Linked DNA regions of Callithrix jacchus. The protein of the gene in region 4 interacts with the protein of the main gene of each other region in a biochemical or structural test. Links are inferred from orthologs where the notes say so. Each region holds a gene or a part of one and is shown on either strand. Other genes may lie near its edges.

Region 1 (6,239 bases), on a different chromosome or scaffold from region 4:
CCCGGCTCCCGACCCCGCACGGGCTCCTTACCGGGGCCTCGCCCTCACCCCGCCACTCAAGGCGGTTGGGGAACAGGTAGAAGTATCGCCGCTGCCACTGGGTCAGGAAGGGATTGCCCATCTTGGACATGTAGCCATGCATGATGCAGTCCTTGCCCAGGGCGTAGTCTGAGGTGAGAGACAGAGGAGGCTCAGCCGGCCCAGCCTAGGTTGCTTTTTGTTGTTTTGAGACAGGGTCTCCACTCTGTCGCCCAGGCAGCGGCGCAATCTTGGCTCACTGCAACCTCCACCTCCCGGGTTCAAGCGATCCTCCCGCCTCAGCCTCCCGGGTAGCTGGGAGTACAGGCGCGTGCCACCGTGCCCGGGTAATTTTTTGGTAGACACAGGGTTTCATCATGTTGGCCAGGCTGGTCTCGAACTCCTGACCTCAAGTGATCTACGGTCCTCAGCCTCCCGAAGTGCTGGGATTATAGGCGTGAACCATCATGCCTGGCTCTGGCCTGGGTTTCCATCCCAAAGTGGCCACTTTCTGGCTGTGATCCAGGGTGAGTTCCTTAAACCCAAGCCAACTGCTCACTCCTAAGCAGGTGGGGGCCTGGTGCCACAGCAGCGGGTGATCCTCACCTTCCTCGTGGCCCAGCTGCTTGTTCTTGGCTTTCTTGCGGGCCTCCAGCCGGTCTGTCTCAGCATTGATGGTGTCAAAGACGGTCTCTGCCACCTCTTGCTGCCACCGCTCCGAGATGGTGAGGGGGAAGTTGCGGTAGAGCTCCTGGTCACTGTCCAGTAACTACCAGGTGGACAGGACAGAGGCACGTGGATAGACAGATGCCGGAATACCCTCAGTCACAGGCTGCCCAGACCCAAGGCCCTGGGTAGGGATGATCAGGGCAAGTGCTACCCCCAGGGAAGTTGGCTGTGGAGGAGCTGAGGCTCACGAGCTGGCAGGCCTGGCACAGGGAATCACAGGTGGCAAGAAGGACAGGGATCCACCCCCAGGCCACGATCAGAGCCCAGGTGCAAGAGGCCAGGCAAGGCCCAGTACCTTGATTCCTTTTGTGTCCTCCTCATCGAAGGAGCCAATGTCGAAGGCATCGGCTGCATTCACCTCCCCTCGTGGGGGGATCAGCGGGGGAGGGTACTGCAGCAGAACAGGGGTCACGGGCATTAGTTTAGGGGTGGGGGTGCGGAGCCCCCAAGCCCCTGCTACAGACTGTTACCTTCTGCAAGAAGACCATCTGCCAGTCCAGGGAGCGGAAGAAGGGGCTCTCCTTCACCTCCTGAGCCCTGTGGGGAGGGGCCGGTCATCCGGGCTCAGCACCTCCCCCCAGCCCTGGGCTTCACTCCTGGTTGAGCCACTTTCTGGCTGTGTGAAGTTGGGTAAGTTCCTTAAGCCTGAGCTGCTTCCTCATCTCTCAAATGGGAGAACAGCAGTTCCTACGTCACAGGCTTCTGAGTTTAAGCACTGGTACATTTTACAACCCTGTGCCTAATGCTTAATAAATGTTCACAATAAACACAAAAAGCTGCCATCATCGTCGTCTGTGACAAGAGTCCCTCTGGAAGCCAGTTACCAGCAGCTGCAACCTCCAGGGCAGCCCCTGCACCCTGAGAACATTGGACAGAGCTGGCCATGCCCCAACTTGTGAGCTCCTCCAAGGAGGCTGGGACCTTGGACGGGGCTCCAGGTGACTGGACATAGCCCTTATCCTCAGGGGGTCACAGCCAGCAGCATGCCTAAGGTGCCAGGGCACTCACCCTCGGCCCAGGCAGCCCAGTCTCCGGTTGACATCCCTCTGCAGCAACCCCTCCAGCAGGGAGCGGAGTTCAGGGGAGAAGGAGTCGGGCAGCTCCACGGCCTTTGGAGAGGAGTGGGACATAGGCAGGGGCTGAGGAAGAGCACTTGACCCCATCCCAGCTCAGGGGAGAGAGGGGCCCAGGCCCACAGAGAGACAGGGCGCAGCTTCCTAGCTTGCCCGGCAGTCATGCTCCAACAGCATAGCGAGGGCAAGAGCCTATGGGGCAGGAGGTCTGTCTCAGAGGCCAGAGTAGGGGCAGTGGCCGAGATCTCTACCTGCTGGTCGGAACCAACAGTCACAACTCTGACACTCACGAGAGCCCCCAGCCCCACTGTGGCCTGCACCGAGACCTGCACCCACCACTGTCAACGTCACCCACAGGAGCCCCTGGCCCCCCCAGCAGCCCCACGCTGAGACCCACATCCACCATGATTAGTGTTAGGAGCTCCCATCCCCCCCATGGCACTGAGACTCACATCCACCACTGTGTCACCCACAGGAGCCCCCAGCCCTCCGGGGCCCCGAACTGAGACCTGCACCCACCACTGTCAACATCACCCACAGGAGACCCCAGCCCCATAGGATCTCCCGCCACACTGTGGCCCCGAGCTGAGATCTGTACCCACTGTTGCCAGCATCACCCACAGGAGACCCCCGCCCCCCAAGGCCCACGCTGACACCCGCACCTACCATTGTCAGCGTCATGCGGTCGATCTCATGCTTGTCTTTGGTCTTGTGCTGCCGGAAGGGGCTATGTCTGGGCAAGAGGGGCCAAAAACCAAAGTCAAAGGAAAGGAATGGGGAAATGGAGGCAGGCAGCGTGAATGAGCTGTGGGCAGTCAGGGATGGTGCCACCCCTAATACCAAGGCAGCTAGCTATGGGCTCCCTTCCTCTGGCTTCCCACCTGGACTGGGGAGGAACTTCTCTCCACCCGACCCAACTGCCCAGCTGGGACAGGCCACTCACCCCCGCAGCAACTTGAAGAGCATGCAGCCCAGAGAGAACCAGTCAGCGCTGCTGTCGTAGGCCACGCCCTTCTGCAGGACCTCCGGAGCCATGTACCCGTGGGTGCCCCTGTGGGAGCAAGGGGGCCGTGAGCAGGAGTATTGAGGGGTGAGGAGGGGGAGGGTGGCAGGGCACTCACACGCTGGCATGGGGCTTCTTCTTAGAGAAGTCGCAGGCCAGGCCCAGGTCTGAGATCCGCACGTGGCCATGCTCGTCCAGAAGGATGTTGGCCGGCTGTGAAGGAAGCCCAGTGAGCTGCCCGGGACGGCTCGGGATGGGGCCCAGCCAGGCAAGATGCCAGCTGGGTCACTGCTTCACTGGAGACGACAATGGGTCCCCAAGGAAACGGCAAAGATGGGGTCCTCTCTCCTGTCCCCAGTCATAACCTGGACCCAGAGAGTGGGAAGGACAGGGGCGGAGATGGGAAGACACAGGGCAGTCGTGTCCCAGGAGCCCCACTCCTCTAGGCCTGGTGGCCAGGATGCCGAGAGGGAGAGAACAGCCACAGAGGCGCGGCCTGGGGCCAGCAGGGGCATGTACCTTCAGGTCTCGGTAGACCACGAAGCGGCTGTGCATGTGTTCCAGGCCCAGGATGATCTCAGCCGCATAGAAGCGCATGTCAGCCTCGGAGAAGACCCCGTGCTGGGACAGGTGGTAGTGCAGGTCCCCACCTGAGGGAGGCAGCCCCATAGGCGGCACTCAGCATCTTGCCCCAGCCTCCTGCGCTTAGGTCCAGCCCACCCTGGGGCTCGGCCAGCACTCACCGTTCATGAGGTCCAGGATGAAGCTGAGCTTGTCTGGCGTGTGGAATGCATACGACATGCAGACGATGAATGGGCAGTCCTAGGAGGGGAGGGGAGGGGAGAGGTCAGCAGGGGCAATGGGGGTTCCAGAGCCTCAGCAGCGGCCCAGCCTGCCCAGCTCACCCCAGTGCTGACGAGTGAGAGCATGATACGCTCGTTCAGGGCCAGGGTCTCCCCCTGCTTCATCTTGATGCGCTTTTTGTCCAGGCACTTCATGGCATACCTACGAGGCAGACAGAGGGCGGCAGTCAACACCCACCCTTGACACAGGGGCCCAGGACTGCCTCTGGGGGTGCTTGAGGGGAAGACTAGACCCAGGACCAGCCTGTGACACAAATCAGAGATAGGGAGGGCTGGGGCCAGAGAAGCCTGCAGGAGGGTAATAGCAAGGCAAGACAGGGGTGGGTGGGGCAGCACGTGGCCCTGTGCGGAACCCAGTCGTCAGGGCCTCCCAGGATCCCTGCTCTCCCAGCATCCCCCTACGCCAAGCAGGGTGCTTACATCTTGCCTGTGTCGGCCTTCCGGCACCCATAGACCTCGCCGAAGCCCCCACGCCCAATGATGCGATGCACGCTGAAGTCATTCATGGTCAGCTGCAGGGCAGCGACAGCTGCGATCACCACAGGCTGCCTGGGCCCAGCCGTGGGGCAGAGGCACCTGGGCAGCAGGGGCTGGCCCCATGCCAGGTCCCTATACCTGTGTCCTGGCTGTCCTTGCCACACACTTACCTGCTCCAGCCTCCCCATGCCGGCATCCCAGCCCTGACCCCCATAGCCATGGCACTAGGGGCTGACACCCCCTGATCTCCCCACTCTCAGCCAAGTCCCAGGCCCGGCTCCCGGGAGGGGAGTAGCAGGGTGCGCAGCTTTCCACGCCCCACCCAGCCCCACTCACGTGGATGTTGAGCTCCACATTCTTCCACTGGCAAAACCGTGTGAACTTATCGCTGGAAGAGAAGAACCTGGACTCAGGGGCCACTCAGGGTGTGGGAAGGACGATGCTGTCGTGAGCCTGCCCCACCTATCGGCCATTCCCCGGGGTCCCATCAGGGTAGATGTGGAAACATCAGGAGCTTTAATGTCCTCTTCCAGGAATGAAATGTTGGGGGCCTGCCCACCCACAGTGCCAGCCAGTGCTGCTTGGGTGCCCGGCACGGGCCTCGGCCACCTGGCTATGGTTTCCTGCTGGAATCAGATCAGCATAGAGAGGAGGTCTTCCAGTCTAACCCAGACTTCCTGCTCCCATCCCTGCTAGCATACCTCTAGTGACACAGAGCTCACTCCATGGCTGGGCAGCAGTGACACTAAAAAAGCCACTCCCTAAAGCTAGCCAAAATCTGCCTACAATTCTCACCCACTGTGTCAACTCTGGCTGTGAGGGCCATGGGGGCCATGTGCTCTCCTGCACCCACCCCTACTGACCCTGATGCTTCTCAGCCCAGGTGGGCCAGCAAAGTGCTATATAGCCCTCGGGAGAGGAAGAGCCACAGGTGGTGTGGCTCTCCTAGCTCCCAGAGAACAGCCTGAGACGGGCTGTGAGCTGCCTGGTACTGAGGAGGGCAGAGTGAAAGAGGATGACCTGCAGCCTGTCTGACCTCTCAGGAGTCCTAGCAAGGGGGCCACTGACGGACCAGACACCTGCCAGCTCAGGGCCTAATGAAGGCTGGCTTCTACCCTCCACACCAGCCACATAAGCAACCCCTTCCTCGCCCTTCCTTTTCCACACCACCCCGCGCTCACCTCTCGATGAATTTCTGGAACACGTCCCCTCGGAGGTTCTGACAAATCTCTTCGATGTATGGCTAAGGGAGGAAACTGGAAGTTTGTGACTGAGCCCCTAGAGACCATGGCTGCCCAGGCCCCACCCCCAGCTAACTAGGCTCTTTGACCCGGGCTGTCCAAGGTGACCTCGCCTGGGTGGGGACTGGGAGGCACATACCTGGAAGAGATCCGGAGGCACCTGCTTCTTTCCCAGGTGGCCCTGGACATGCTCAGTGGCACTCTTTGAGAAGGGCTGAGGAAGACAGAAGTGGCCATGAATTCTTCGCAGGGTGCTCTCTTCCCCTCCCAACACACAGGTGACTCTGGTCCAGCACGCAGGGCCAGTCCAGGACACTCACGTGCGAGCAGGCCAGCAGCTCCTTCATGATGTACAAGTCGAAGATCTCCCGGCTGCGGGCCACACGCTCCTCCTCCGTCTCCAGCTTCTCGTACTTCTTGATCTGGAGGACGGGATTCCCGCAGGTCATCTATAGCCCAGCAGGTCACAGGGGCACCTACACCAGGTGACTTGTGGATTCCACCAAGCTGCCCCATCCTCCTTCCCTTTCTCTGGCCAGAGCAGGGCCTAGACCTCTGCCTCACCTCCTCGTAGAACTCCACCAAGGGCCTGGCCTCCTCCAGGTGGTTCAGGCAGAAGTCTCGGAAGAGCAGGTACCCTGAAGGCAACCATATCAGGTCACAGAGCCACGCCTCTCTCAGAGCCCTTCCCATCATCGCAGATGGCATGGTTTGGGGCTCCCTGAGTAGAACTGGGTATGGAGGTGGCAGAAGTGGTCTCGGCCCCAGGAAGGGGGTGGACCAGGCGGCTGCTGCCAACTTGAAGACTCCTGGATTCTGGGTTGGGGCCCGTGTT
Region 2 (4,978 bases), on a different chromosome or scaffold from region 4:
ACGGACACGCTGGAACTGACGCTGGGGGTGACTCCCGAAGGGAACCCACCCAAGCTCCTTCCTTCCCAAGAGACTGAGCGGGCCATGGAGATCCTCAAAGTGCTCTTCAACATCACCCTCGACTCCATCAAGGGGGAGGTGGACGAGGTGAGCACTGATGGCAACCCGTGGCTGGGTCTCAGCTCAGCTCCAGCATTTTCTGGACCTGCTTGCTTCCCACTGGGTACCTTCGGGTTTCTGAGTGTCAGACATGGAGAGGATAGGATCTCTCAGCCTATTGGGACAAGGCCAAGGAGATGCCAGTTTCGGGCTGGAACCTCAGGGATCCCCTTCTGGCTCTTGCTGCCTGGCAGGAGGGCTGTGTGGTGTCAGGGGAGACTGTAAGAGATCCTTCACCATGAGGCCATGAGTGGGGCTGACACACTGTGTGACCTCCCCAGGGAATGTGTTTCTACTCAGGGAGGTGATTTTTTTTTTTTTTTTCTGAGACGGAGTTTCGCTCTTATTACCCAGGCTGGAGTGCAATGGTGCGATCTCAACTCACCACAACCTCCACCTCCTGGGTTCAGGCAATTCTCCTGCCTCAGCCTCCCGAGTAGCTGGGATTACAGGCACGCACCACCATGCCCAGCTAATTTTTTTTGTGTGTTTAGTAGAGACGGGGTTTCACCATGTTGACCAGGATGGTCTCGATCTCTTGACCTCGTGATCCACCCGTCTCGGCCTCCCAAAGTGCTGGGATTACAGGCACGCGCCACCATGCCCAGCTAATGTTTTTTGTGTGTTTAGTAGAGACGGGGTTTCACCATGTTGACCAGAATGGTCTCGATCTCTTGACCTCGTGATCCACCCGTCTCGGCCTCCCAAAGTGCTGGGATTACAGGCACGCACCACCATGCCCAGCTAATGTTTTTTGTGTTTTTAGTAGAGACAGGGTTTCACCATGTTGACCGGGATGGTCTCGATCTCTTGACCCCGTGATCCACCCGCCTCGGCGGAGGTGCTTTTAAGAAGACAGAGGTGGTCATCTTTTGCCCCCAGCACTACCAAAGTCACTTAGGAGACCCCAGGGGGTCAGGCATGGAGTATGGGAGCTGCACAGTCAGTGCCACATATTCTTGGAGTGCAAGACAGTAGAGCCTCAGCAGGCAGCAGTGGGATGAGTGGGGCTCCTCACAGGAACCCTTCTTTCTTTGGTCAGGAAGATGCTGCCCTTTACCAGCACCTGGGGGTCCTTCTCCGGCACTGTGTGATGATTACTACTGCTGGAGACCGCACAGAGGAGTTCCACGGGTGAGGACATGGCTTTTTCTATGGCCACATTGTCTAGCTAGTGGTCCTCAACCCTGTGGACCAGAACCGCCTGAGAGCCCAGGCCCCACCCTGGGGGGGGTCTGACTTTGTCTGAGTGAATGGTACTGGACATCAGTGTTTCCGGAGAATACTGAGTGCTTCCAATAGGTGGCCAGGACAGGAGCCATGAATCTGGGGACAGGAATGTGCCAACTGGACCTTGGGTAGTGGCAACAGATACATGCTGTTTACTGGGCATTTTGGTCCCTTGTCCCCCTTCTTGGGCCACCTGCCCCTAGGCTGATCTGGGTTTCCAGAGATGGTGGCACTTTAGCCCAGACAGGGTGGGGCAGTTAGGGTGTCTGAGTGCCCCCACCTCCCCAGGGGACCCCACTGTACAGCTGAGTGGCAGTGCCTCTACGATCGGTCTCTGCCTTTGTTTTTGGTCCCTAGTGTTGCTCCTTTAGGTCCTCAGACGCCAGCTCGTGTAATGTGTGGTTCAGTGGGGGCACAAAGATTGCACCTGTGCCAAGGGATTAGCTCTATTGAGACCCCCGTCTCCTGTCCCCAGCCATGCAGTGAACCTCTTGGGGAACTTGCCCCTCAAGTGTCTGGATGTTCTCCTCACCCTGGAGCCACACGAAGACTCCGTGGAGTTCATGGGAGTGAATATGGATGTGATTCGTGCCCTCCTCATCTTCCTAGAGAAGCGTTTGCACCAGGTAGGCTGGGGATGGCTGTGCAGGCTCCCCCAGTGTCTCTGGCGCTGGCTGTCCTGCACAGCTGTGGTCAGTGCTTCCACACTGGTAAGTGGAGATCATCTTGGTGATGTGATATGGGCAGTTCTTTTGGCTGTTCTGAGGTTCAGCCTGGCAAGAAGCCAGACCCTTCCTCCATGAGAAGCATGTGGACACCCTCCACACACTTAAAGGTTTCACTTCTGCTTAAATATTTGTGGATTTTTATTGAGTGGTCCTGAGAAGCTCCCCCAGTCCCTGCTTTTAACTCTTAGACACAGGCAGCCCTTGATTATAAGCATGGCTGTCCCTCAGCACCCTGAAGAGACCCACAGGAACCTCTGATCAAAGGTTCCCTCTGATTCCTGTGACTGCACTGTGGGGCATCTGGACAGCTGGGCTCTAACCATTCTCCAGGCTCTTGCAGAAAGCAGGTTCAGTAGACGTCTTGGGAATCTACCTGCCTAAGCAGAGGACACACATGGTGCATGTGAGCCAGTCAGGATAGGGACCTGGCATTGGGCACACAGCTGGGGTCAGCTGTCCCCGTCGCTGCCACTGCTGATACTAGGGTCCAGGCACATTATGCTAGGAGGGACAGGAACTCCCTGCTTTCTGTCCATGAAGTACACCGAGCAGGGATTCAGTTCTCGTTTCTTTTTGCCACCGTCATCTGAGGTCAATGTGTGTGCCAAAGCTTGAATTGCTTTGTGTTTTCTTCCCATCCCTGGCTTATAATTGAAGCAGTTATTTGAGCCAAGTCACAAAACTTCTGAGTTGGGCTCTATCCCCGCCCCTTTCAAAACTGACACAGATACCTAGCACCCACTCTTGGCCCTCCACTGACTAACTGCAGAGGGGTCTCTTCCCAAACCCCTGCCGCTAGGACCAGCTGGTGTGTCTTGGGGGCGGGGGCAGGGGGTTTTGGGGATGTAACTCTGCGCCAGTCTCAAATTAGGTAGGGCCATAAGCCTGATGACAGAGGCTTCTCTACAGACACACAGGCTGAAAGAGAGCGTAGCTCCTGTGCTAAACGTGCTGACTGAGTGTGCCCGGATGCACCGCCCAGCCAGGAAGTTCCTGAAGGCCCAGGTATGAGGCTCAGAAGCTGGCGCTCCTGGGAGATGTGGGTTGGGCCCTGATCACAGACTCTTGGCTGCTCCAAGCCGAAGCTGAGGGACGGCCGCCTCCCCAGGTGCTGCCCCCTCTGCGGGATGTGAGGACACGGCCCGAGGTTGGGGAGATGCTTCGGAACAAGCTTGTCCGCCTCATGACGCACCTGGACACAGACGTGAAGAGGGTGGCTGCCGAGTTCTTGTTTGTCCTGTGCTCTGAGAGTGGTGAGTTATGGAGGCCCAGGTCCCACCCCACCTAAGCCAGGCTTGCACTGACCTCTGCCTTGCTCCTCAGTGCCCCGATTTATCAAGTACACGGGCTATGGGAATGCTGCTGGCCTTCTGGCTGCCAGGGGCCTCATGGCGGGAGGCCGGCCCGAGGGCCAGTACTCAGAAGATGAGGACACAGACACAGATGAGTACAAGGAAGCAAAGGCCAGGTATGTGCCCCAACACACCCTTGGGGTTCCCACTCAGAGCCACACCCATATGGACCCATGTAGGGTAGGTGGGACAGGATGACACATGGGCAGGACCTTCCAGAATCAGGCTCCTGTTCCTAAGTGCTATCTGGGATACCAGAAGGTGGCAGGTGGCAGGAGCTGGTTAACTGCTGCTCCTGGAGGGAGGCCTCTTCCTGCAGTTGCCTTGCCCTGCCCCCTCTCACCCCATGGGAAAATGTGTCTTGCCTCCTGTCCTGGAGAGTCACTAATGCATTCCTTACACTCTACCCCATGGGAAGCAGCATAAACCCGGTGACCGGGAGGGTGGAGGAGAAGCCGCCTAACCCTATGGAGGGCATGACGGAGGAACAGAAGGAGCATGAGGCCATGAAGCTGGTGACCATGTTTGACAGGCTCTCCAGGTGTGTAGCATGAGGAGGAGGTGGGGGGAGCCTGCAGCTGGGAGAAGGGAGAGCTGACCCACATCCTGTCTTGTGATCCCCAGGAGGTAGGGTCAGAGGAGAGCTTAGGATCCTGGCAAGGCCGCATTACTTACGTTTGACATCACTTGCCCTGGAGGAAATCCCCCAGGGGATGGGCATATTGAGGTCAGTATTGTGCCCATTTTACAGATGATAACTGAGGCCCAGAGAACTTAAGAGACTGTCTAATGTCCCTGGACTTATTGGAGATGGTCCAATGTCCAAATTCAGAGACTGTTTAAGGCCAATTTAGATGTCTCAATTAAGAATCTACTTAAAGCCATGAGGTAGCAGTTAGGATTTGGGCCCAATTAACAGAAAGTCCAATCAGGCTTCCCCAGTAAATGGGAGCAGCCTACCTACTTGGTGGAGAGGAAGGTAGCAGCCAGGGGTCAGCAGGACCCTTGCCTGGCCAGCGGGGCCCCTTCCCCAGCCCCACTGCACCTTTCCCCACAGGAACAGAGTCATCCAGCCAATGGGGATGAGTCCTCGGGGTCACCTTACGTCCCTGCAGGACGCCATGTGCGAGACTATGGAGGAGCAGCTCTCCTCGGACCCTGACTCAGACCCTGACTGAGGATGGCAGCTCTTCTGCTCCCGTCAGAACCGGTGCTGCTTCCAGAGACTCCCTGGGGCTGTAACCTGGGAGAAGCCACATCCCCTGGGCCCACACCCCTCTCTCCATCTTGGAAACCCTTTCTCTTTACTCCCCAGGTTCTGTTCACGATTTGCCCCTGGTTCAGTTTATCTCAGGACTGCAGTGGTCTTGTGCAAGAACGCACAGCTCAGCCTTGAATTCTGCAGGCAAAGTACTTTTCTTTTGTCTGCGCCAAGAGGAATGTGTGTAGAGGCTGCTGCCTGAGGGCAGGGCCTACCTGGGCATACAGAAGAGCGTGCATATGGGAGGG
Region 3 (6,986 bases), on a different chromosome or scaffold from region 4:
ACCTGTAATCCTATCACTTTGGGAGGCTGAGATGGGCAGATCCCCTGAGATCAGGAGTTCAAGACCAGCCTGACCAACATGGCAAAAACCCGTCTCTATTAAAAAATACAAAAATTAGCTGAGAATGGTGGTAGATGTCTGTAGTCCCAGCTACTCGGGAGGCCAAGGCAGGAGAATTGCTTAAATCTGGGAGGTGGAGGTTGCAGTGAGTCACGATTATGCCACTGAACTCCAGCCTGGGTGACAGAGGGTGACTCCATCTAGTGTGTGTGTGTGTGTGTGTGTGTGTGTGTGTGTAATTGATGAGACAGGATTCAAGTTGCTAACTCTGCTAACTGGTCTCCCTGCTTTGATACTCTGCCCACTCATCTCAATCATTCTTTCAAAAGAGTCAGAATGATCAGATCATGCCCTTCCTCTGCTTCTGTTTCTTTCGTAGATTTCCACTGCACTTTGATAAAGTCCAGCCTCTTGACAACAGCCTACAAATCTTTGCAGGATCTGTCGTCTACGTTTCCATCTCTTTTTATGCTACTTCCATCATGTTCTCAATTCCCTAGCTATGCTGGCTCCCTCCTCTTCTTCCGCAATTTTTTTAAAATTTTAAAATGTTGTGTATATTTATAGGTTGTAAGTGAAATATTCTTTTTACATGCATAGACTGTATAGTGGTGAAGTCAGGGCTTTTAGGGTATCCATCACCTGAATGAGGTACATTGTACCCCTTAAGTAATTTCTCACTATCCACTGATTTCTTGCCCTCTCATCCTTCTGAGCCTCCATTGTCTATCATTCCACACTCTACATCCATGTGTACACATTATTTAGGTCCTACTTATATGTGACGACATGCAGTATTTGTCCTTCTGTGTCTGACTTGTTTCACTGGAGATAATGGCCCTAGTTCCATCTAGGTTGCTGCAAAAGGCACGATTTCATTTCTTTTTATGGCTGTGTTCTTTCTCAATTTAGGTAAAGTGCACTCGCACTCGCTCTTACTTCTGTTTGGAATACTCATTCCTGGGCTTCTTGCATTGCTTTCTGCTTCTCACTCATCGAATCTTATTTTAGATGCCCCCTCTTTAAAGAGGCCTTTCCTGACCACCTTGGCTAAATTAGTCCTTCACCATCTGATCGCCCTCTAGCACATCACCTGCCCATTTTATTCATGGTACAGGTCAAAATCTGGAATCATCTGATTTGTTCATTTTCTGACTCCTCCTACTGGGATGAAAACTCTACTAGGGCGGAGATTTTGCCTGCTTGTTCACCATGCTAAATACAGTTCTTCAAACAGTACCTGATACAGAGTAGGTGTCAAAAGATATTTCGTAAACCAATGAATTTTATTTATTCATTCTTAAACAAATGAATAAATAACAAGTAGATCTTTTGAGAGTAAAGCCCTTCTATACTACCAGAGTCACCCAGGATTGACAAATCATAGAATAACAGAATTCGTTGCTTTGTGCATATCAGAGAAAGAAGGTGGAAGGTTGTCAAGGTATCATGATGTACCAGCCCTCGCCTCCTCAAACACAATCTGCAAGTCCCACAGTGAAAGAATAAGTTAACTCATGTGAAGCGTTTTACAAACACTTTTTTTAAAGTTTTAAACTCCTAAGAAAGCAAGGTTTAATAGCCAAAGAAGTGAGTAAATATGAAATGCCTGAACAGAGTAATGAGTTAAGCAGGTTAGAAGACCTGGTTCTAATAGGGAACTAGCACAGTGAGGTATGCTGCAACTCCCGCTTTCACGGAGCAAGAACAGATTGGGCAAGTGAGCAGTCCTTGAATAAAAGATGTAAGATTAACATTGGATTCTATTCTCTACTGTGTATAATAGAATGAGGAAAAATTATTTTTTATAGTTTGGAAATATCTCTATTTATACAGTTTATCTCATTTGATCAGACTGTTGAGTTACAGGATAGCACAGCGGACAACTCACATAACTGAGTATAGAGACACCTAGATCTGGACCCAGCTCCGTTAGTAAGAAGCTGTAACCTCAGCAAGTCACTTTCTCTTTCTGGGTCTCTATTTCCTTTTTGGTGAAATGAGGATGTTAGGCTAGATTGCCTTTAAAGTCCCATCTATTGCAGTGATTTATATTTAACTCGTGACAAATCAGGCTTCTCTTATTCTAAGTCCAAGACATAAAGTTCTCATTGTAGAATTTCAGACATCAGTAAATCTTCTTGGGTCCTCGCTTATGTTCCCAAAATCAATCTATTTGAGTGATCACTCTCTTAGGTGCGTAGGTAAACAAAGAAGGTCATGGTTCTTCTTTGAGTGACCTTCTTTCCCTTTTAATTAATCTGTCCTCTTTGATGTCAGTTCTGACTGGTTCTTCTCCCTGGTTCGTCTTCCTTGGTCTGATGACCTCCCTGATTTCACATTGTACTGCAGTTCCTTCCATACCACCATCAGGGATGGCTGTCAACTTTCATTTGTTCTGTTATAATTCAAGGAAAAGTTGCCCAGTAGCTAATCTGATAAAACGTCTTTCTATCTTTATGGGCAGCTAGAGACTTTTTCCTATAATTTAAATGCATCTTCTGTGGATTATGGTCCCTCCACCATTTTATATTTGTCTGCTGTCTTCTTGCTCTGCTAGTCATGGAAGGAGGTGGTACTGGGGGCAGCGTAGGATGTTCAAGGGCATGTACTAGGTAGGGCCACGTATGGGCATTGCTTTGTGCCATTCTTTCCATATTTTTGGTATTTTGCATTTCACTGGAACCCAACTATTTTCACCTCTTCCACCTAAACCATTTGATGCCTCTGTTTCTTATAAATAAAGAACAGCTCATGGTAGCCTATGATTAGGAACCTATCTGCTTTCAAAATGAAAGCTGTTCTGGTCAGACTTAGCAATTCATTCCCCCCTTCCACGTATAGCTTTCCTCCATGAAAAAGATCCCTCTGTAACTCTGGTGTAGGTATTTGATATCTGGCCATAAGATGTGAAATGCCTGAATGTTTTTGTCCACGCAGTCGTTTCAGTCCATGATATTGTACGTAAAAGATACTAATTGTCCAGGTGTTCAGAAGCACCCATAGGACTTGATATGATTAGTTTGAAGGCCGGTGATATATAAGGCAAACTACATATTTTTCTGCCTGCTCTCTCTCTCTCTCTGTACATCCCTCTTTATCTTTTGAGATAGCAGTTTGGAGACTTAGAGTTACATAAGACATAAACCCATTTGCCAATAAGAATTGGTGTGTGTATTTGCTCATCTACTCCCTCCTTTGGTCCTCGAGCTGCTGTTTTAGACTTTTATAGGATGCAGGCATGTAAAGGAGAAACTGTCAGTGCTAGGCTGAATTCTGTTGTTACCAAGATTTCTAGAAAAGTATTCCGCAGTCGGGTTGATTACAGATAGCGCGAATCTATTTTTCCTAGGCTAGTTTCTCTTTGCTGCCGGGCTTATAACTGTCTGTCATCCAGCTATTGCTCTCCACCTTCCTGTTTGCATAACAACCAAGGCAACTTCTGCAAATCGCTGCATGGAGACGATGATCCTACCAACTCCCTTTTGGAAACCGTGAAGATCAGACCTTGGACCATGTATAATATGATGCTTCTAATCCAAAAGAGGAAGGACATTGGGAGTCAACTCCTAAGTAAGCTCCAGAATTTTTGCTGGTACTTTTCCTTCAGGAGGTAACTTTCCTTGATATTGTTTTTTTTTTTAATAGATATATGAATAAATACTATATTTTGCAGCATTGTACGCTTTTTTTCCTTTTCTAGAAATTCTAAACCTTTGACATTCATAGAGACGTTGAGTACATTTTTTTCTGTCTGCCTACTTTGCAGAAGGATTTTCTCTGCTCGTTCGCTTAGCATTGCTGATGCGTCAATCTTTTCTTCCTCGTCTCTTTCAGGGGCTGGAGAGGCAGAGGGAGACAGAGGAGCTGGTACTGCAGAGCTGTCGTCTGATTGGCTGGATGGTCGTAGCTGGGCTATAAAAGAGACCCCTACAGGCTTGGGAGAAAGACGCTCAGAGAATTCTGACAGTATCTTTGCCGGAGAAGAGGCAAAGTACGCTCAAAGCCGAAGCCACAGCTCCTCCTGCCGCATTTCTTTTCTGCTTGCAAATCCCAAGCTGTTAAATAAGATGTGCAAAGGGCTTGCAGGTCTGCCGGCTTCTTGCTTGAGGAGGTAAGATTGCTTTCAGCCATTAACCATGCTGAACTTTTGGATAGACTTTCTCAGTCATTTACATGTTGTACTTACTAACCTAGTTCTGTGCAGTTAGAAACAATGTGGTCAGGAGAGCAATGACTTCCTAACTTTCTTCCTCCAAGACAAGCTAGATACTGTGACTTAAGACATGTGCTCCCCAAATTTCAGTCCTTACGTGTTGTTTTATGACCTCAATTTTGGTAACCGTTCTGTTCTTTAAGCCAGGTCTAAGCAAGCTAGTTTTAATTAAGAAGTGAGATAAGGTTTGAGGCTATGGATAGTGGTCTGTAATATCTCCATCTGTGATTCCTACTGTTATTTGAGCATCCCCGGAGTATATAGAAGCCTGGCTCTGGGCTTTCTGATTGTACGCTACATCTTGTTTGAGGGAAAGTACCCCATAATGAGGTTTGGCTGCATTATCGGAAAGGCATTATGCTTTCTGTGTGGTGCTCAGTATCTTTCACTCTCTATGTTCTTATAATCAAATGTTACAATGAGATCTTCCGTATCTCTCTGCTCTATCTCTAGTTCTTAAAGTATCTTAGATGAGTGTGGTTGAGAAGTACTGATCATTACAAATCAGTTAACAGTTTTGTAGAAGATCTCACCTTAAAGACATTGTTTTGTTAGTATGCTCTCTTAATGTTTTTAAAACACCTTACAGGCATACAGTTATGCATTTGTTTATGCTTTTAAAAGCATAAACAAATGCATTCAGAGAATGATCGTATATTAGCCACTTGAAAATGAAACACAAAATGAGTGCATATTCCATTACTTAATCTTGCAGATAAAGGTAAAAAGTCATTCTAGAGGTATATACCTGCTTTCTTATCACCCTGCAAATAGAAATTACCACAACTTTTATTTTGGAAATAATTTCAGAAAACATAATGTTTTATGTACTATTCAAACATTTACTTTTCAAATATTGTGTCATTCATGAGTGTGGAAGTGTCAATGGCTTCTTTAAAATGAAGCAGGAGGGTCTGGCAGAGAGTATGAAATAAGTGCCTCTGACCTTCATGATTAATTTTCTGAATGGAGGGGGGCAAATCACTTCAAGCTTCAGTTAACTTACATATAAAATGAACCATTCAAAAATACAAGAGGGTCAGGAGAAGTTATGCTCTGGTAAATATTTTGCAAGGCAGATAAAGAAAGGTAGTACTAGAGCTCTGCCCTTGAAGAGTTAAGCAGCTAATCTAAGGAGGTAAACCCTGTGTTAGCCAGATGAGCTGCTCTTCCCTTTCCTCACCAGTAAACTCCAAATGGTCTAGTGCAACATCTTTACCACCAGTGCCTGAGGCTCCAGAGGAGCCATCTCCTACTCAAGGTCACATAGATGGTGGGTGAGTTAGGGCCAAATCTAGATTTCCTGGCTCCAATAACTTCTGAAGTCATTTTGGTTTTTATTTTTATGGTTTTATTATAAGAATACTTGCTAAGCACACTTAGCCCCTGCATTGATCAATAGCTCTCAGATCTCAGGTGGATCCAGCACATGGAAATATGAATTCATTTCTATTTGGACTTCATGATATACTTATATTATCACCTCGGAATTACCCTAACATTCAGGATTATATCTCACTATCATCAAAAAGGATAGTATATCCCCTGACCAGTCATCAGTCAGGGAGGCAGAGGAGGGAAAGTAGTCTTGGGAGGAAGAGAAAATACTATTTAAGAGGCAGTCAGCGAACATAATGGAATTCAGAATTTCTGGGAAAACCTACACACATAAGCCACTAATGTATTAGTAGTCATCCTAAATGTCTTTATATCTCTGTGGCTTTATTTTTCTTGCTCCAAATAGGAACATTTAGTTATTCATTTTTTAAAGAATGGTATTTCTCTTTTAAAATTATTTCTTGGCTTTTAAAATAAAAGAGATGCAAGCAAGAGGATAGTTAAGAAAAAGTAAGAGAGTTGAGTTTAAGGCTTATTAAAGGACCCCGTTTTTCTAGTTAGTCCGGAGCCCTGTTGTGCCCTGGCTACCTATTAAAACGGCCGCAATAAACTAGAAGCTCAGTGATGTCTCTAGCCTCCTTCTCCCTATAGTTTTTAAGCCCCAAATGCCCTTTATAGTGTATATGTCCTTTAACGTAGCTATTAAATAGGAAAGCAGCAGCAGCAGCAGGTACTGTCTACAAAGAAGCCCCAAGGAGCTCAGGTTTCAGCTTGGGCATTTGCTTTCACCGTCCATGTTCCATTTCCCTCTGCTGGAGCTGCGCACCTCAGTGTATTCTCCCTGCATACCCCACAGCAGGGACTGCTTGGCCCACCATGTACAGGGCTGGAACGGAATAGACTTTTACTTTCCTGAGGTGCTTCTACAGTTCCCTCTCTGCCAGCAGGGAGACAGATGGAAATGGCAATCACCTGCCAGAAGGTGGCGTGCAGCAAGGATGTGCATCTTTCGCAGCTGCTGCCTTCTGATTCCTAAAAATTACTCAGAGATCACTCATGTTTTCAGTGTGGTTCTATTGAAGATACCAAAGGTATTCTGTTGGTCAAAATGACCGGCATACAAAGGCTTCTGAGATTTCTGAGGTAAACTGAAGGGTCAGAATTCAAGTTGTGGATGAAGGAACTAGTGTTATGACTGTGCCTCAAGGTTTTGTAGCAAGTCATAGGCAACCAAAAGCGGAATCTTGTTTTCCTCAGAGTTCATGCCACCTCCAACTCCTATTCCCTAAATAAATGCCTCTGAGCCATAGACTAGTAATGGACTCTTGAAGCTCTACCATTAGGTATCTCTTAATGAAAGTTGGTTATCATA
Region 4 (6,929 bases):
TGTGTGTTTGTTGATGATGTTAGGTGGTACCATTCTTTTGTTTATTCATTATTTACTTGGTAGCTGTTCTAGGCTAGACCCTCTTTCTGGTGCCATGAGAAGTTATGAAAAACAAGGTCCCTGCTCTCAGGCATCTCCTAATTCTGAGGGGGAGGAGGGCAGAGAAAAAGAGAACACTAAAGAACGACAGTGGTATGGTGCATATGAAGCAGCCATGCTAGTGACTGTGAACAAGAGAGGTACTATATGTTGCCTGTGTCGGATGACCTCTATGGGCCTTTCCTTCCCCATGAGATCCTTTTAGAAGAGCACCACCTTTTCATTATTTGACTGTAGAACCAATCCTTAAGACTGATTTATGCCTTTTACTGTTTTTCTTTCCCAGTCCCCAAAGGACAGGGTGTAAGATTGTAGGGTTAGCTATCCATCTCAGGATACCATAGAAAAGGTGACAGTCTTCCTGTTTTTCTCTGAGGTTCAGAGTTCCTGAGGTACTGCAATTTGCTTTTCAGCTCATTAGTAATTGTCCTTGAATTCTCAAAAGGGTTTATCATCTTACTGTCTGTGTGGGGTGATTTGAAATTGCTGATTTACTTTAAGGTGATTGAAAACCTTTTCATTCTTTAACATGCATCTCAATGCCCCTTTTCCTGCCATATCTTTTCCTGTTCTTCCCTTCCTTTTTATACCTTTATATTGTTACTTCCACCCCAACTTTTATATACATTGATTTTAGTCTTCTATTATAGCTGTTTAGAACCTCAATATGTCATAAGATTATAAGCCTACTGAGGGTAAGGACTGTATTTTATTCATTTTAGTATCTCTCTCATCCTGCACCTTCACCTGTTACCTCCACATAGTAGGTAATGAATAATGTTTGTTGACTGAATGAACTGGGATTTTGTAACATGATCCCTGCGTAGTTACATGTTTGATTATGTGCTTGCAGAACATGGTCAACTGTCAGTAGTTTCTGCATGGGTTCTATTTGTTTGACTTAGTCTCTAGGAATATTTGCTTGGCAAATTCTCTCCAGATAATATGAAAAGGTTTTTGGATAGATCTGGGCTCAGACTTGGAATTTCTTTTCCTGTTTCCTTCTTGACACCCATATATGGCTTTATCACTGTAGAGTCTTGGTTTTTCTTACTTCCTGATTTCTCCCCAATACTCGAAACATTCTCCTATTGACTTGTATTCATTCAAGTAGCTAAGTGCCAGGGAGTGTTCCTGATGTTGGCAGGATAAATGGGGCAAAAAACAGACTCTGACTGTAAAGCCCACTGAAAACAGGTGAATTCATCAAATAATAGGTCAATTCAGTCAAAACATATTACCTGATAGCCGGATGGCCCATTTTAAAAGACATTTCAAAAGTCTCAGAGGATCCTTGGGTAGGAAACCAGAGACTTGAAGCTTCCTGTCATTTGGTTTTCTAGTGTTTTATGTCTCTCAAAGCTCACATACATACATATATGAGGAGGATGCAATTTTTTCTTCTGAAGCCACTTTCTATTTTTGCACACTGAATTTCAATCTTTAATTTCTTTAGTCACTTAATTTTAAATTTTAATTTCATAGCAAGTCTAGTGGCTTTTTGTAGGCATTCACATAAAAGGGTCAAGGTTTGCCCTCTCTGCTCTCCTGGCCAAGGTGAAATTTAATTATTTTCTAGGTTTTAAACAGAGAACCTAAAATATACATTTTATATCTCGACTTGCTTGATTTAAATCCTGGCTTAGATTGTGTGTGCGTGTGTGTGTAAGGGTGGAGTAATGGCAAATGAAGGAAAGAAGGACGTTAACACACCTGTTGTCTAAGAAGCCTATGTGAATTCTTGATCTGTAGCAAAAGCAAAGTCATGAACTGTACTTTACACTCCGGATCAGCAGGTTGCACTAGGGACACTGCAGAGAACACATGAAACGTGAAAAGGTGGTTTTCTTCATAAAAGCCCATTTTCTTTGAAGACCTCAGGTTCCTTTAAGGCAGGAAGTAACATGAGTTTCACCTCCTGTAGCTATTAAACCAAATAAAACCTGATTGAGCAAGATTATTTTCGTGTGCTATTTATCAGTAGACGATCACAATGAAATATGCATACGACAGTTAACTGCCTCAAATATGGCAAACCAAAATAAAAAAAATAGAATGCCATTTTGCTGAGGTCATCTTAGTTTCTATTCTATTTCATTCTTTCCATTTATTCCACATTATTTTACATTTTCCCGGAAGTCATCCATAATTCAGTGTAGAAGGGTAAATTCGATTACTTGGCAGCTAAACATGGTGTGCCCTGTCAGAAACAAGAAGACTTGTAAAACAAAATCAAAAACAACTTCCCAAAACGCCCCAATACAACAAAAAACCAACAACCGAAAAAACAAAGGCATGGAAAGCTGGAACCTATCTGGGGGCTTTTGGAAACTTGGGCAGCTTCCTTTCTCTGCTCAGGATTTAGATTTCTATCTCCCGTTACTTTGTGAACTGCTTCTCCTGTGAATTTCCCCCCCCCCGCTACGCCTCCGGACACCGGTGCCAGTTCCTTCCCTTCCTCAGTCGCCTCCCCACAGTAGAGAGGATCTTATTTTATAAGACTGCACCGGGGTCAGAGGTGATGTGCGAGAGTTTCTAACCGAATGGCGTTTTAGAAATAGGAACGGGAAACATAGAAGCGGCTGAGGAGCGTCCCCGCGGAGCAGACGGGCAGGGCCCTGGAGCGACGGACGCCAGCGCCGGCGCCGCGGGGAGCGCGTGCGGGACTCCGCGGGGCCGCCTACCGCGACTTCAGCAGGGGCCGCGGCCGCGCTCCCGGGCCGGTGGGCTGAGGCAGGCAGAGGCCGCCATATTCCCGCCTTACCACGCCCGGCCGGCCGGCAGCCGGAGGTAAGCGGCGGCTCTGACAAGCAGCGGCGGCCGCTGCCTCCGGCCGCGCGGCGGCGACCCGGCCCGGCCCCGGCTGGGGGCAGCCGTGACCGCTGCGCTCGCGGCCTCTGCCCAGGGTGCGAAAGCAGGAGGCACCAGCAGAGCCCGAGGGGGCCGGCCCAACCGGGTAGCCGCGCGGGCGAGGCGAGAGCCGCACTGGGAGGCGCGCCGCGGCGGCCGCGAGCCCAGGAAAGCGTTCCGGGAGGGGCCGGGCGGCACCGCCTCCCGGCTCCCCTCCTCCCGCGCCTGTCCCCTCCGCCTCCTCCCCCTCCTCCTTTCGCCGCCGCCTCTTCCCTCCCGGATCTGTGCTCCAGTTCAGAGAAAGAAGAAAATGTGTGTGTGTGGCGAGGGGGAGGGCGCGCACTGAGCAGCCGCTCCGCGCCTGGCAATCGGGGCAGGGGGCGGGCGTCTGGCGAAGGCGGAGGCGGAGGCGGGGGCGGAGGAGCGCGCGGCTGCCGGGCGGGCCGGGAACCGGGTCTGCGCGCGAGCCGGGCGGTGGGCGCGGACAGGGCCGAGGGCGCCCGGGAGCCGTGTCAGGCGGCGGCGAGGAGCGGGCGCGCCGGGCGCGGGAAGCCGTCGGCGGCCGCTCGCTGCGGGGACACCCCGGTGGATGAGCTCTCGCCGCCAGGCGCACGGCGTAGGGGAGCCTCGCAGGCGGCGGCGGCGGCGGCGCGGGGGGCGAGGCGGGACGCCCATTCTCGGGGAAGGAGGCGCGGGCGTCTGAGCGAGGCCGGGCGCGGCGGCCTTCCCTCACTCGCCCCCCGAGCCAGCGCCCGCCTCCCGCGCCCGCCTCGCTTCTCCAGTCGGCCCAGGCAGTTCGCTCCCGCCGCGCCCCCGGCCCACCTGGTGGCCCCGGCCCTGGCCGCGGCAGTCGCGGCGGTTCCGGGAGCTCGTACCGGACGCGCGCCCGGGCGGCGGGGACTCGGCGGCCACCGCTGCCTCGGGGGAGCGAGGGCGGGAGGGTGTGTGTGCGCGCTGTGAGCAGGGGGTGCCGGTGGGGCTGCAGCGGAGGCACTTTGGAAGAATGACTCTGGAGTCCATCATGGCGTGCTGCCTGAGTGAGGAGGCCAAGGAAGCCCGGAGGATCAACGATGAGATCGAGCGGCAGCTCCGCAGGGACAAACGGGACGCCCGCCGGGAGCTCAAGCTGCTGCTGCTCGGTGAGTACCGCCCGGGGCCGACCGCCGCGGGTCCTCCCGCCGGGCCTCTGCGAACCCCCGCCCACCACCCCCGGCCCCGCGGGGCAGCTGCCCTCGGCGTCCCCCGCCCCCCGGCGCCCGGGACTTGCCCCTACCCTCCCGGGCGCGCCCCCGGCCACTGCCTTCACCCGCGCGGGTGCGCGGGCGCGTACACACACGCACGCAGCAGAGGGGTCGGGCTGCCCTGCCCGGTGCCTCGGCTTGTTCCTTTTCGTATCCCTGAGGGCTGTGCCTTATCTGCTGTGCATCTGCTAAATGGCAGATCACTCTGGCCAGAGGCGCAGGGGTGGAAAGGTGGGCAGAGGGATTGAATTTCTAGTGCCGTGACCGCGGCTTCCCGTGGGTTGGTGGCGTGGGGAGCCGTGTGTGTGGCCCAGCGGGTGGCGAGCCGAGCCCGGGACACATTGGGGGATGGCCTGCGCCGGGGTGGCTGGTGTGCATCCAAGATCAGTGTCCTCTGGGGTCAGGAGGGAATGGGGGAACGGCGGGCAGACTCGCAACTGGATTCCCAGAGCAGTGATGACGAGGAAACCAAGTGGTTGGCCCTCCAAAGAAAGGGCCTGTGTATTGGGGGCGGGGCGGGGCGGGAGGGCCAGCCCAAATGTGTCACACAAGAGCTGTTCTCTAGCCACCAAACCTTCGAAAGGAGGGAGCCTAGAAGAGTTTCTTGGCCAGTGGATGGTGACAGGCGTGTTTCTCGTCTGCACCATTCCTTCTAGATAAAGATGAGGGATAGGGGAGCGTTGTACTGTGTGGTTGTTGACAGCGACCGGTATCTTTTGTTTAATGAGGCAACCCAGATGTAGGCCTGAATTCACAATAGTTACTGCTGAAAACCAATGTAGCCTCTCAATTACTCCCATGGCAACAAATAGAAGCCTTTTGTTTAAAACAGATAGCAGTTTAATATCTTTGGAATCTAGGCTAGAAGGAAAACGGTAAGCATACAGGAAAAATTTCCCTCTAGTCTTGAAAAAAAAAATCATTCTGCTTTAACACGAAGTTAGCAAGAAAATGCCATTTCTCAAATTGGAATTTATTGATTATTATCTCTGAGAGGATGTTCAGAATCAAGTGATCGAGGTTCACATACAAACCAGAGCGACAGAACCCTGAGCTATTGGGATAGGAAGAGCAAAGAGCTTTGCAGTAACAGACTTGAAAAATGACTGCCCTTGAGTTCTGGATATTTGCATGTATAATTGTATAATAAATATGTTTCTCAAACATTTCTGTAAGAAAAGAATATTGTGCTGTCAGTTGATGTTTGAGAAGCATGCATTTTCTTTCTTATCTTGAGCATTCCATTTGCTGGCTCAAGGAACCAATTGCCTTTGGAAATGAACTGCTTATGTACTGGACCATTTACAAGCAAGAACAAAATACACTGATCACACCAATAGTTACTAATGGTTAATTTACATGACATGCTTTCTTTATGTCTTCATTTTGAAACTCTAGATAAATGTGCACATGTTTACAAAAAACAGAAGGCAAAGCACTGTATGAAAGAGGTGGGCTTAGGGGAAGAGGAATACTGACGCTGGAAAGTAAAGATTTTTTTTTTTTTAATTCTCATTTTTGAGATACTTCTAATGACTGAAAACGGTCAGTTGAATGTTTTCTGAGTTCTCAAGATTGAGAAGAAAAGAGCGAAAAAGAGAAATACATAGAGTGTTTAAGTGCATGGTTAAGGTGAAAAGCACGGATTTTAGAGAGACTTATTTTAAGAATTTTTTTTTTCTTCTGTTGCCCTGTTGACAGTCTTTGATTCTGTTTAACTGTGAACTGGGCAGTTGAGGTCTCTCCAGCCAACCCAGTTTGCCTGAAAAGTGACAGCTCTGGGTTTCCCAGCAGTTAAGAGTTAAAGCCCAGGGGGGTTGTCAAGGGCCTAGGTTTGAATGTCTAAGGGAAATACACTTATATGGATGTTCAGTTACATACTGTGTATTTAAATAACACTGTGCTTTTAAAAATGAACACGGAGATAATTTTCTGAGGAAAAAAATGTAAACCAATTTTACTGCTAAAGTGGTGGTAGTGTGGAGAACTTTTTTTCTTATTAGCTGAATGTAATGCAAGAATTGCTGCTGCTTCGTGTTCCTGGTATGTTGCTTTTGCAACATAAATACTACAATACTTAGACTATTTGTATAGTAATATACACTAAATGTGGATTTGTGCGTGCGTGTATGTGTATGAGTGTGATTTTAGGAGTTTTGAATCCAGGGTGGTTGATTTCGATAAGGGGGAAGATATTAGGGAGGGATTTCATTTGAGGAATTCCTGATTTGCTGCTTTGATGAGTAGACTTAATGACCTGGTTCCTTCCATCATTTAAACAAAACCTATCCAGAGGAGGTTATAGGAAGCATCCATTCATAGTTTAAAGATCTAATATTTTTAACCAGTTTATGGAGGAATGACTGTGTATTGAAATGAAATTAAATCTAAAATTGTTTCCAAAGTAAATTTTACTTGAAGGTGTGACACCATTTTAATGGAAGAAAATTTTTTGACAGGGATAAAAGTGGGTGCCCTTGCATTTGCTCATATAATTATTTACTTAGGTATATTAATAATACGGAGACATTCAAAAAGGCAGGTAGTGACCTGAGTAGATGAAAGTATGGCAGTAAAATTTGGCCTATTTTGATTTATATCCGGCAACTATGCCAGTCTTCTGAATTTTCTCCATATGCTTATATATTTTTATTTTAACTTTAAAAATGCGAACCCTGAAATCTGCCACTATAAGAATATTATATTGAATTTTGTATTATTTTCTTGTTGTCTTTTAAC
Region 5 (5,099 bases), on a different chromosome or scaffold from region 4:
GGCATGTCATTAGAACTTTGAAAATTGGTTTACATGGCCAAAACCATGCTAGTCTCAGTAGTGTAAAGGTATCAGAGAGACACAGTCTAATTTAATATACAGCTCTACTCTCTATTATAGGGAAAACCACAGTACAGAATTTCACACATTCAACAAAGAACAAGGCAAATACATAAAGGCACAAAACTGCACATCATATAGACCCCTTTTCTTTATCTTAGTCTATTTCAAGTAATATTAATATTATTAAATGATAGTATCACTGTAGTAGTTTCAATGATGCAAGATGGAAAGTGTTACTCACTACCCCACAACTGCAAAAAGTGTCATTGTACAGATATAAAAATGTGGTTACAGTAAATGGTCAAATACAAACATATTGTAAAATGACTAAATTCACTAAGATAATGAAATCCAACTACCAAAACAGTTTTGTGTAAGTCAAGGTTATTCAACCTTAGTCTATCTCTGGACTAAAATGTGATACAATGTTCTGTGATAATCACCATTGTGTTTGGTTATGAATGCTATTGTTAGTTCATTCTTCTGCAAGTTCAGACAGTCTGTAATTTTGTTTATAAAAATGCAGCATTCGATTTTGACCATTCTTGCTTCTTTATGATTAATGACTTTCTTTCAAAGTGCAAAAGTAGAACGATTTACAAAAGACTTCTTTTTCAGTGGAAGTTAAGTTTTATTAAGTGTCTAATTAACACCCCAAACCCTTCAGATCAAAATATCATCATTTCCAAAAAGGATGCGATTTTCCACTTATATCTTACTAGATTTTTTTTTAAATTAAACACTGTTTTCTTATGTTTGAACTAAGCCTTCATTTTGATTAAAATTTAATTGTGATCTCTAGTTATTGCTTAAAGTTAAACAAAATAATTTTCATAAAAATATTAAATTCTTGAAACAGTTTTCAGGACACAACTGGTTTTTGCATTTTAAGGTATTTCATTAAGCTACAATCAGACAGGTTTACTTTAAAGCAAAATAAAGCTGTGAGCCTCTGGCTTCTGGGCTTCGAATTCCATGTTCATTGTGTTACTCTCTAAGTTGCATTTTTCTATATATTATTATTCTTTCTTTTCTCAGAACTTTCAATTATGCTTTTGATCAGTTTTGCCTTTTGACATAACTTGTTTCTCTTATGCCACCTAAAATAGGAACTTACAGAGAGACAGGTAAGTGAGTTAAATGTACTTAAGTAAATATATAATGAAAGTTTTTAATGTTAGAATAAAATAGAAATGTGTCAGTCTTAAAAATTATGGAAGATTCTAATCAATGTCCATATTTCTGTACTAATTTTTTGACCATTAAAACAAGCTTAAAATCTGATACTTAACACCTAATTTTTGATCTTGCAAAATATAAATTGAATTCATATTCTAAGTTCTAAATCTATATCAGTTTGCATCAATGGCTTCATCAACTATTTCTTAGCATCTCCATATAACTTAACATCCATGTAATCTAGATGTTTGGCCCTTTTCTTCTCTATCCATTTATCCCTGAATTTGGTTTTAAGTCTTGTGGAAGAGATCTGGGTCATTGTCAATTAATAAGCACATATCTACACTCATGTGTGTGTATGTGTATATGTACTTACAAGACTAAGTGGGTACATATATACATGGAGATAATACCTATCATTTACATGTGGGTCTTTGTAGTCTCTAGATAAATATTCAATCTTCCTCTCTATGTTAAAAATAAATGAACCATAAGAAATGTCGAACAGCAAAATAACCACTGGAACCTGTTCACTCTGATTGAATATCTGGTTAACATATATCAGCTCAACTATTTTTATTCAACAGAACATTTGTAGTTATTTGATCATTTCAGGCTAACAACCAATGAATACCCAGACTTTGAGTGCAAATAGTCAATTCAGACAGCACACTGGCTGGAAATGTGTGGCCCACTTGCTCATGCAGCCAAATGTACAATCCATATTGCTAAGTCTTGGGATGGCTTCACTGGATAAGGATACAATCAAGTGATTTTTTTTTCCAAATAAAAAACAAACTTATTTGAATCATTACAGTATCTAATAAAACCATGTCAGCAACAAATACATTGATGGCTCTATGATAAATAAATTAGCAAAATGCAAGCCACCAGTGCTTGCAAAGCAAAAGATGAAATAATGTAATATGCATGTTGACTTGAAGATAATGGTAGTTGAGGGGCAGTTTAAAAAATGCTCAAAGCCAGCTGTTCAATAGTGTTAAATAATGCTATGCATTTCTCAAACTATTTCTATGACTTTGAAATACTTTACACCAGAGCTTTGAATAAAAACATGAGCTCGATTTTCTTCAAAGAAGACACCGTCCTTCATTAATAGTTCCATGGAGCCTGCAAGTTGCTTGCTTTGAATTTACTACCGGAAAGAAAACAAAAATCTCACATACATGCATTCTTCACTAGTAGACCTGCAGAGGTTTCCAAGTGACACATGGAGCCTGGGCATGGGACTTCTGCAATGGATTCCTCTGGAACTCTCCCTTTGGTGTGGATTTTAGGCTAAGGGATGCTTCTTGGGAAGATGGTCCTGGGCAGTGATTTTTGTAATAAGAGAGAGTCTGATGACACTGGAGTGGCCATGCAAATTTCTGAAGGCCTGGCAGGAGCATTCACAGAGGAGTATCAAATTCTTTTCCTGGGATGTCTCCTCCCAGCTCCTCACTGGAGGGAGTCTTGTGGTTCACTTTTCCAGGGTCTGAGGACAGGGAGGGAGGGGCAGAACCGTGATTGCTGTCTTCATTGATCTTCCCTTTCATGGCTTCCTGCACGAATTCCAAAATCTCAAGTGGCAGTCTTTTGAATTTGTCTTGGTATTCTTGCTCCAGCTCCACCTGCAGCTGGGAGACATCAAGTAAGGAGATGACTTGAAGTTGTTTATGTTTCTATACCCACCCCCATAGAAACTCTCCGAAAGAGATGTACAAAGGGGGCGATGAATACATGAAGTTAAAATATCATTCACTGGTCATCTATAGAGGAGATGTAACAAAGTTTAGCTGGACACATCATTTGTCTGTAGCTGAAAGTCAAGTTCAAGTTATGTGTGGCACAATAAGGCTAAAGACTTGGAATAAGATGAATGTATCTACAAATGCCCACGTGCGCGTGCACATGCACACACACACACACACACACACACGTGGGTCTTTTGAAAAACGGTGTCAGAGGCAGGGCATGGTGGCTCACACCTGTAATCCCAGCACTTTGGAAGGGAGAGGCAGGTGGATTGCTTGAGGTCAGGAGTTCGAGACCAGCCTGGCCAACATGGTGAAACCCCGTCTCTACTTAATGGAAAAATTAGCTGGGCATGGTGGCAGGCATTTGCAATTCCAGCTGCTCAGGAGGCTGAGGCAGGAGAATCCCTTGAATCCAGGAGGCAGGGGTTGCAGTGAGCCGAGATCGCACCACTGCACCTCAGTCTGGGTGACAGAGTGAGACTCTGTCTAAAAAAAAAAAAAAAAAAAAAGAAAAGAAAAGATAAAAAGTAAAAGAGAAAAAGGTGTCAGAACTAATATTAAATGATCTGAAATTTTTACATTTAGGGGTTGAGAACCATTGATGGGTGAGCGTGTCAAGGTCAGCCATGAACCTGGCTAGGGGAAGCTAACTAAGAAGCAGAGGAGACAGACAAGTGTGGCGTGGGCTTTGGGATGTGCAGCTTCAGTCTTATTTTGACTTCTTTCACCACCTCTTTATTTTGATTCATTTTTCATTCTAATTTTTATTTGCCTTGTAAACTATTTTAGCTACCCTTTAAACTGTCTTTTAATGTGTCTATTTTATGCCCTGGAGAATTTTCAGACGGTTTAAAGTCCTTGGAACTCTTTCTTTAAATGGAGACTTACATGGATGTCTCATTTATAAAATAGTACAAAGCCTGCCATTCTCTGGTAGATGGGGAGAGAAGGTGGGCAGCAGGGAGAGTTGTCTGCTAGGGAGCTGCACTGTGCTGAGCCCAAGCAAAAACCTTGAATTTTAAATAAATTCTCTCTGCTTATCAATTGGTACCCAGGGAGCATAATCCTTGAAACCCCATGCAAGGCTAAATGCTTGCCCCCACACACCCTTATTAGCTTTGAGGCAACTTTTGAGATACGGCCTTAAAATCTGGATTTTTTTTCCTCCTGCTTTTCAAACTTTAAGGTGCACACAAATCACCTGGAATTTTGACCTTGATTCCGTCTGACTCAGGAGGCCAGTTTGGGGCCCGAGCTCCTGCATTTCTCAGCAGCTCTTGGGGGATGCCAAGGTGGTTGATCTGCTTTGGCCACTCTGATAGCTCCCTGTCTGGGTTCTACCCTCAGACCCCAGTTCTACTTTTTGTCTTGATCCTGGCTGTGCATCCTGCATCTTTCAGGGCAAATTCTGGGGCTCGGTCTGTTTCTGGAACGCCAGGGTGAAGCCGGTCCCCAGGGCATCTGTCTTTCTGAGTCTTAACCTCTTTCCGGACAGTGTCAGCAGCTTCCTCTTTAGTTCAACTCCTTTCACTCTTGCTTCTGTGCCAGATAAATTTTGACAATACTAAATTATTTAATTTATATTAAGTAAAACCTTATCTATCCCAAAGTTTTGAAATCCAGAAGTTTTCTTTTTTCTTGCAACTCTGTGTAAACTCATTGACGCGAACTGATGTTTGGATGATAATGATACATGAAATATGTATAATTTCATATATCCCCATCATATGACTATTTGTGCACTAAACTGCAGACATATTCATTTGCTTGACTTTGAGGATGACTCAGGTCTCCCTGGAGTATTGTGCTCATGGCATATGCATCGCATTGCCTTTCTAAAATCAGAAAATGTAAGAATTCTGAAGAACAATGGGCCCCAAGAATCTCAGATAATGGATTATGGATCTAGTTCAAATGACTTATGTTTTTTTTTCATCAAAAGGTGTGTGACATGCACTTGTATATTATTCACAATAGCAAAGACATGAAATCAACCTAAGTGCCCATCAGTGGTAGACTGGATAAAGAAAATATGGTATGTATATAACATGGAATACTAGGCAGCCATAAAAAAGAATGAAATCATGTCCTTTGCAGCAA

Evidence for each region.
Region 1: the proteins of GNAQ (region 4) and GRK2 form a complex in vitro, tested with the Homo sapiens proteins (3 studies listed by BioGRID). The link is inferred for Callithrix jacchus from reciprocal best matches to the Homo sapiens genes GNAQ and GRK2.
Region 2: the proteins of GNAQ (region 4) and RIC8A form a complex in vitro, tested with the Homo sapiens proteins (2 studies listed by BioGRID). The link is inferred for Callithrix jacchus from reciprocal best matches to the Homo sapiens genes GNAQ and RIC8A.
Region 3: the proteins of GNAQ (region 4) and RGS4 form a complex in vitro, tested with the Homo sapiens proteins (3 studies listed by BioGRID). The link is inferred for Callithrix jacchus from reciprocal best matches to the Homo sapiens genes GNAQ and RGS4.
Region 5: the proteins of GNAQ (region 4) and PLCB1 form a complex in vitro, tested with the Homo sapiens proteins (2 studies listed by BioGRID, with this or other methods). The link is inferred for Callithrix jacchus from reciprocal best matches to the Homo sapiens genes GNAQ and PLCB1.

The regions. Positions count from the first base shown.
Region 1 is NC_133511.1:124,364,541-124,370,779, reverse strand, and holds part of GRK2 (beta-adrenergic receptor kinase 1), read right to left. Parts: intron 6,043-6,239; coding exon 5,969-6,042; intron 5,827-5,968; coding exon 5,725-5,826; intron 5,619-5,724; coding exon 5,544-5,618; intron 5,407-5,543; coding exon 5,345-5,406; intron 4,552-5,344; coding exon 4,500-4,551; intron 4,199-4,499; coding exon 4,107-4,198; intron 3,829-4,106; coding exon 3,729-3,828; intron 3,646-3,728; coding exon 3,567-3,645; intron 3,474-3,566; coding exon 3,343-3,473; intron 3,037-3,342; coding exon 2,942-3,036; intron 2,872-2,941; coding exon 2,764-2,871; intron 2,554-2,763; coding exon 2,487-2,553; intron 1,857-2,486; coding exon 1,756-1,856; intron 1,285-1,755; coding exon 1,218-1,284; intron 1,139-1,217; coding exon 1,043-1,138; intron 788-1,042; coding exon 625-787; intron 169-624; coding exon 32-168; intron 1-31. UniProt on the Homo sapiens protein: Specifically phosphorylates the agonist-occupied form of the beta-adrenergic and closely related receptors, probably inducing a desensitization of them. Key regulator of LPAR1 signaling.
Region 2 is NC_133511.1:131,719,829-131,724,806, reverse strand, and holds part of RIC8A (chaperone Ric-8A), read left to right. Parts: coding exon 1-147; intron 148-1,201; coding exon 1,202-1,293; intron 1,294-1,864; coding exon 1,865-2,015; intron 2,016-3,026; coding exon 3,027-3,122; intron 3,123-3,225; coding exon 3,226-3,370; intron 3,371-3,440; coding exon 3,441-3,585; intron 3,586-3,890; coding exon 3,891-4,010; intron 4,011-4,093; exon of another isoform or gene 4,094-4,196; intron 4,197-4,526; coding exon of another isoform or gene 4,527-4,647; exon of another isoform or gene 4,648-4,784; coding exon 4,785-4,932; 3' UTR 4,933-4,978.
Region 3 is NC_133519.1:38,567,297-38,574,282, reverse strand, and holds the start of RGS4 (regulator of G-protein signaling 4), read left to right. Parts: upstream 1-3,280; 5' UTR 3,281-3,575; coding exon 3,576-3,633; intron 3,634-3,897; coding exon 3,898-4,174; intron 4,175-6,986. UniProt on the Homo sapiens protein: Inhibits signal transduction by increasing the GTPase activity of G protein alpha subunits thereby driving them into their inactive GDP-bound form. Activity on G(z)-alpha is inhibited by phosphorylation of the G-protein.
Region 4 is NC_133502.1:104,907,468-104,914,396, forward strand, and holds the start of GNAQ (guanine nucleotide-binding protein G(q) subunit alpha), read left to right. Parts: upstream 1-3,240; 5' UTR 3,241-3,952; coding exon 3,953-4,088; intron 4,089-6,929.
Region 5 is NC_133506.1:16,074,840-16,079,938, reverse strand, and holds part of PLCB1 (1-phosphatidylinositol 4,5-bisphosphate phosphodiesterase beta-1), read right to left. Parts: intron 2,880-5,099; coding exon 2,652-2,879; 3' UTR 1-2,651.